2 linked regions of the Oryzias latipes genome follow. The protein of the gene in region 1 interacts with the protein of each later gene in a pairwise test. Links are inferred from orthologs where the notes say so. Each region holds a gene or a part of one and is shown in the gene's direction. Other genes may lie near its edges.

Region 1 (2,944 bases):
CAGCGCCTGCCGAGGCTCATCGGTGTTCCAGCTGCCTTGGATCTCATCACCACAGGTGGAGCAGCTAAGAGTACTTTGACTTACCAACAACAAACTTGAATGCTGAAAAAAAAACTGGTCATCACAAGTAACAATAGTAAAGTCTGTTTGAAAAAGATTTTTCTTTAAATAATAAGGTTTATGAAGCATTTGAAGGTAAAAGATTTTGTCCGTATTTTCCGTTTGACTCTTATCTTAAACTTGATTTATCTTGCTTTCTAGAAATCCACTTACATTCAAACAAAAACGTCTTATTGAATAACTACAATTTGTTTTATAGAACTACCATTTAGCACCAGCAGGTGGCAACCTTTAAAACTAGTAAACCGTTCATTATAATTCATCTTTGGCTGGGTAAGCTGAATTGATTGTGATGTTATTTTTTGATAACTGCTTTATTCATCTGTAAAAACATTCTTGTTAACACTTTAAATAGGATGTTTTGTGTTTTTGTCCCACAGGCCGCCACGTGACCGGCGCCGAAGCCCTGCAGCTTGGATTAGTCGACAAGGTTACTGACAGAAACACTGTGGATGAAGCTGTGAAATTTGCTTTGAGTGTTGCAGGTGAGAGGCAATGGGGGGGGAGGGGGGTACTTACTAGAGTAAAATCCAACCCCCCCCCTTGACTGGTTTAAAAATTTACTCTGTGGAAGAACAAGAAATTCCTTCTACTGGAGTTATTTTAGGTAAACCTGTCATCAAGGCACCCAGTCATCTCTGCTGTGGAAGCCAAAGGAGGCAGAGAGACATGTAAGGCAGATCCACCACCACAGGAGCCATGAATGTTTCATGGTGCTGTCAGATGGGCTCTGATGTCTTCACTACATTTGCTGGATTATTCAAGAGGGCGAAAAGCGACAAACTTTTGTAGAATTTTAATGCAGGGCCCCCACCATTCATTTAGGAGGAAAAGAGCTGCGGCACGCATGTGAGCCTGACTCAGTTGCAGACGGAGAGGAGTCCTGAAGTGTGCCATGTCCCCACAGTTTAGGAAGAAGGATTTCTTGGTCTGTGTGAAGACCGCCCCATTCAGCTTTACTCGCTTGTAATGAAACTGACAGAGCACCAGTGGGCATAAGAAAACTGTGTTATTCCCCAAACCAGTCAGAGCCATTTAACATTTTAGGGCACTAACTAAATCTTTTCTTCTTCTTTTTTTTTATCAAAGCACATTAGTACTTTATCTTTTACCAAGGGCTAAATCATTTTTCATCCCTCCTGTGTGTCCTGAATTATCCACAGCTAAGGTTGCTCCTGATTCCACATGAAAGAAATTTGAAATGAAGTCTTCATGACTGAACTGTAGGCTTCAAGTTGTTGTTATCTCGTTGTTATCCGAGCGGTGACAGCTTCTTCCGCAGACGCATCAGTGAGCGCAGTGCCTGTTTGTGTCTGATATCATGCCCGTGGCAAAAAATCTTGTATCTGTGCAAAATGTCAACAGTTAAGCCTGTTGAATGGCAAGTCAAACATCATTTTTACAATCAAAATATGAAGTCTTCAAATGTTGTTGTTTTTTTTTTCTTATTTCCCTGCACTACATGAGGACTGAATGTCAGAGGAGGTGAGTGTTGATAGTAAAAGCAAGACTGTTATAAAAAGAACTGAAGAGATGGCAGGAAATCAGGGAAATTCTGGCAGATTTTACATCCTTGTGTTAGTTAGGAGGGAAAAATGAGGACAGGAAATGTTTTGTTTAACGCAAAAAGCCAGCAAAAATGTGTGAGACCACAAGATTTCTCTTGAGACCTGCTTAGATGCTATTCCAGTGAGCATATTTTATATTTAACTTTGTTTTGGTTTTTTTTGCACAATGTGAAGTGTGCGCTTACACTGATGACTGCGTGCTCACTCTCCCAACACTCATACACAAATGGATTTAAGTCTCACTGGTGACTGATGAGATTATGGGACTTTTTTTAACCTCAGAGGTTGCAACATCTGCCCACTACATCTGTCCAGACAGCTAGGATTCCCATTCGCTGTAAATCCACAGCTCGGCCATTTACAGATTAATCTGCTGCAATAATGCCTCCTAAATTACACTGGAACCACTGCACTGCAATAAAACACCTCCCTCTTGTTAAAATTGTGGGGTAACATGCATAGGAATGTCCAAAAAATAACATTTACTCAGTATTTTCTTTAGAGATGATAAATGGTAACACAAAAAATAGTTTAATGCTGGAAAACTTAGACAACCCATCAATCAGATTTGACTGCTGTCCCTTTAAGCTTCACCATGGTGACCCATTTTCTGGTCCAGACCCACAGCTGAGTGTAATTCAGTGAAGCTGTGAAAGATTCTGACTTCTGTCTCATGTAATCACATCAGAGAAGACAGCGCTGGGATTTCAAATGCTTTTATTTTTAACAAGGTCTTAGCATAGGAGCCATTAAAGTTGAAATCACTGAAACCTCATGTAAAGATTCAATGAGGAACAATATAGTTTTTGGGAAAATGGGCTGGAGGTTTTTTGTTTTGGTTTATATAGAAAAACTAAAATATTGATTCTTTATTCGCCTATTTTCCTCCAAACTGACTCATTGTTTTTCGTTTTGTTTGAGATATTCGGTATTCAAGGTGAGCTGTGTCGGTTCATTGCCAAAGCTCCTGCAATTATCTGGAAATAGCCTGTCAAATCGGCCTGCTCTTAGTGTCTGCTGGGATACCTAGTTATTGAGGAGAAGAGTGTGCCTGAAAACATTCCCACACCTGAGCACCAGTTAATAACTGTGTAAAAAAAATAAAGCACTGCCAGTGGGAAGTAATATGCTCATTTGATTTCACAAACTTGAATTTTTACTTTTGCATATTTTCAGAAGTTGAATTATGAAACACATTTCTGATCTACTTCTAACTTTCTTCCTCAGATCAACCCCCTAACTCCCGTCGTGTAAGC
Region 2 (4,163 bases), on another chromosome or scaffold:
ATTCATTCATTTCTTTGGACAAGTCACATGATCCCAGCAGTGCATTCTTCCCCCCATGTGACATCCTCCGATATCTCCTTTTATGGATGTCATCCAAAGGAACTCTTAAAGGGATGGATAGCCTGCTCTGGCGCTATAATTGGTGCTTGTCTTTCTAAAACAGGATAATGCCACTCAGAAAAGCCAATTCCCTGATCAGCTCATCACTCCAACTCAACCCCCCCACTACCACCACACCATATGTGTCTTTAGCTGCAAACACTTCCTGTGTGCATCTACAAAAAATAAAGCACCATAAAATGTGACTTCCCTTCCCTGCTGGAGAGCAGGCTCCCAAATATCCATATTAGGAGCACAGGGAGCAAATCTCAGAGTCACTAGTACTATTGGTCCTGTGCCCTAATTGAGTTAAAACGCCACCCTGACTAAGCCACTCTTTGTCTTGTCTGCTTACAACATAAGCTTCTAAAGACAGATTTGCATCGCAAAGCTGAATACTACATTCCACCCACCATTTCAGGTTAAAATGCCAACAGGTGCTGCGTAATTCTGTGCACTCAAGTGAGTCATAGCAGGTTGCATATTTTTCATTCAAAGGCGAACACATCACGAAACTGATGAGTGCAAAAGAGGGATTAACAGATTCTCCGTTTTGCTGTAAACCAAAATCAACTTGGACACGCGTATCTTTGTCACTCTGATATATGTGCTTACGTGTAAGTGAGACCGGTACGCAGGAGCACATATTGTGCAGGGTGTTAACACTACTGTCAGTGACCCTGAAACTGTAACCAGTCCAAGGCTGCCAAATACACGTGTCTGTGATCGGTGGGAAAAATTGGATGTTCAAAGATTGACACAATTCAGTTATATAAAAAAAAGTTCCTAAATTGTTACGTTTTTTTTTTGAAGATCTGGTTAAGAAAAAAACAAGTGGACAAGCAAAATTATAGGATTACCTTAGCCAAATTACAGGGTAGATGATAAGGAGTAAACATATGATTGCATGTTTTTAATTTAACTGGACTTATCCCTAATGTGAGAACAACACAACAGAAAAACATGTTTTTAAGCTGATTCTCAAGAACCATGTTAGCAGTTGTAATTGCTGGGTTTTAAGTCACTCATTCAAAAACAATAATAAAAAAAATAAGAACAAAAACAAACCACTTAAAAAAAAACACAGTGACCAATGACCCCTGACACTTAACCCTCAAAATATAGGGGTTACTTTTCACGGTCCTTGTCCCCCGCGTGCCAGGGTGCACGGCAGCTATCTGCATGAGCCACACCCAGTGGATGCGGCGGAGCCAATCAGAGGACGCCGTGCGGAAAGTTCTCCTTTTATGGAGAGGGGCTGCAGCACGAGCTCACATATAAGCCCGCACTTCACAGGCCTTCATTGCAGTGTAGCTCAAACACTAAACTCCGCAGGAGTGTTGCCTTCCGGCGAGAGTCTTCACAAGTCGTGAACCCCCATTCATACAGGTAAGAGGCAACTTTTGACTTTTTGTTTTCTTGCTTATAAAATTTACGCCCTATTCGATACGTTAAAGACCTAAATGTTTAAAGTCGGCGACTTCTGTCTGGCGATAGCAAATTAAAATGTTATGTCGCTGTGTCAATGAATGACAAACTGCTGTCATGTCTGCTTCTCCGTCGTAAATATCCCTGTGTTTGATGCTATTATCATTCCGCTCGTATATTTAACTAGCCGCGTTGACAAGTTTGACCTTCTCCTGCATGCCAGCATCCACAAGGTTTGCGGTTCTTCTGACGTCTCGGGTTTCGGCCCGACGATGAAGGACTTTACATTTGCTTCATTCTAAAGTATTATTTTATACATTAAGCCTTTATTTTATTTTTAATCAGCAAGTCCGTTGAGCTTTAAAAAAACGTTGTGTTTTTCTGTAGTTTTTCTGCCTTCGCTGCACTTGCTGGGATGACTTTGCTTATTTGACGGGTTTAAAGCTGTAGTTCTGGAAAACAATCAAACATTTATGACAGTGATGCGATGTGCTGAGGGCAAAAAAGATTGGTAAGGATGTTTGAAGGGGGTGGCCGTCTGTCGGTGTCATCCGAACCTGTTTGGGACACGGGGTGGTTTCTGGACCGGTCTGCTGCTGCCGGTGAGGCTGCTCTCACTTTTGCCTTATATGGCCATGGTCAGACGGGCTAGAAACCCCTTTTGTTTCAAAGCCCTGCATTTTTAAACTCGAAACGACACCACAGCGACACCCAGCGTCCAGACCCTGAAACAGGACTGTCCAGTGGTAGATGCTGAGTTTCTGATTTTTCTTTCTGCAGAAAATGGAAGAAGAAATTGCTGCCCTCGTTATTGACAATGGATCTGGTATGTGCAAAGCTGGGTTTGCTGGGGATGACGCTCCTCGTGCCGTCTTCCCCTCCATCGTTGGCCGCCCCCGGCATCAGGTACAGCCTTTTTTTTTTACCTGCAGCATAACCCAAAGCCAGAGAGTTTTTGTTTGGGGCTAACTTTAAACTTTGCCTTCCAAGGGTGTGATGGTTGGTATGGGCCAGAAAGACAGCTATGTTGGTGATGAAGCACAGAGCAAAAGAGGAATCCTTACCCTCAAATACCCCATTGAGCATGGTATTGTAACCAACTGGGACGACATGGAGAAGATCTGGCATCACACCTTCTACAATGAGCTCAGAGTTGCCCCTGAGGAGCATCCAGTCCTGCTGACTGAGGCCCCCCTAAACCCAAAGGCTAACAGAGAAAAGATGACGCAGGTGAGGATCCTGAAACTGTTTTCTGAATTGCGTTGCCAGCTCATTTGCAGCTTCCATTCAGAAGCTGTTTCAATCTTTTCATTTTTCATGCTCCATATCATTTCCTCCTGCTCCTCCTTATACTCCAGGACTCTTCTCTCCTGAGCTGATCTCTTTACCTCTGCGGATGTTTTAAGGTTTTGATCTTCCTGCACTGCATCAGGAATGACTCTTTGCAGCATGGGCACAAACTTTTCTGATCTATCAACTGATGTGCTTGTCAACAAATTTAAACAATCACTTTATATTGCTGTGTTCTGCATAACTGTGTGGCTGTGCTCAAGTAATCTTAACTTGTATTGAATTCAGCTGGTGTGGTGGTTATAGTGATCTTAACAATAACTGGTGTGATTCACTGACCTAAGGTCTCCACTGCTCTTCTTCTAGATCATGTTTGAGACCTTCAACACTCCTGCCATGTACGTGGCCATCCAGGCTGTGCTCTCCCTGTACGCCTCTGGACGCACCACCGGAATCGTCATGGATTCTGGTGACGGTGTGACCCACACAGTACCCATCTATGAAGGCTACGCTCTGCCCCATGCCATTCTGAGGCTGGACCTGGCTGGGAGAGACCTCACAGACTACCTCATGAAAATCCTGACTGAGAGGGGTTACAGCTTCACTACCACAGGTGGGCCCTGTTTTACATTTGAGCAATAGGATGTGGAGAGTTGAAAACTAAATATAAACTGCTTTCTTCTGTCTGTTTTACAGCTGAGCGTGAGATTGTGCGTGACATTAAGGAGAAGTTGTGTTATGTTGCACTGGACTTTGAGCAGGAGATGGGAACTGCTGCATCTTCATCCTCACTAGAGAAGAGCTACGAACTGCCAGACGGCCAGGTCATCACTATTGGAAACGAGCGGTTCCGTTGTCCAGAGGCGCTCTTCCAGCCTTCTTTCCTTGGTAAACCTTACATCCTCATGCAATATGGGTTGAATATTGGCACATCTGATGTTGAAAAGTGACGGCTGTATTTTAACTCTCATGCACAGGTATGGAGTCTTGTGGTATCCATGAAACTACCTTTAACAGCATCATGAAGTGTGATGTTGATATCCGTAAGGACTTGTATGCCAACACTGTGCTGTCTGGCGGTACCACCATGTACCCTGGCATTGCTGACCGCATGCAGAAAGAGATCACTGCCTTGGCCCCCACTACAATGAAGATTAAGGTATGGAGACTTGAGTTTGCGCACAAAGTCTAAAGTGCTCCATCTAAAGCACTTCAGTGTTTTTTTTCACTACTGTACTTGCTAACTCCTCATTTATGCTTTTAGATTATCGCACCTCCAGAGAGGAAGTACTCTGTATGGATTGGCGGCTCCATCCTGGCTTCCCTGTCAACCTTCCAACAGATGT

The links. The genes of interacting proteins can lie anywhere in the genome.
Region 2: the proteins of ehhadh (region 1) and actin, cytoplasmic 2 interact in binary tests that used the Homo sapiens proteins (3 or more experiments, as listed by UniProt). The two-hybrid records come from large-scale screens. The link is inferred for Oryzias latipes from reciprocal best matches to the Homo sapiens genes EHHADH and ACTG1.

What each region holds. Positions count from the first base shown.
Region 1 is NC_019879.2:20,083,429-20,086,372, reverse strand, and holds part of ehhadh (peroxisomal bifunctional enzyme), read left to right. Parts: coding exon 1-55; intron 56-500; coding exon 501-605; intron 606-2,915; coding exon 2,916-2,944. UniProt on the Homo sapiens protein: Peroxisomal trifunctional enzyme possessing 2-enoyl-CoA hydratase, 3-hydroxyacyl-CoA dehydrogenase, and delta 3, delta 2-enoyl-CoA isomerase activities. Catalyzes two of the four reactions of the long chain fatty acids peroxisomal beta-oxidation pathway.
Region 2 is NC_019859.2:22,455,868-22,460,030, reverse strand, and holds the start of actin, cytoplasmic 2, read left to right. Parts: upstream 1-1,363; 5' UTR 1,364-1,488; intron 1,489-2,307; 5' UTR 2,308-2,310; coding exon 2,311-2,433; intron 2,434-2,517; coding exon 2,518-2,757; intron 2,758-3,183; coding exon 3,184-3,430; intron 3,431-3,513; coding exon 3,514-3,705; intron 3,706-3,794; coding exon 3,795-3,976; intron 3,977-4,081; coding exon 4,082-4,163. UniProt on the Homo sapiens protein: Actins are highly conserved proteins that are involved in various types of cell motility and are ubiquitously expressed in all eukaryotic cells.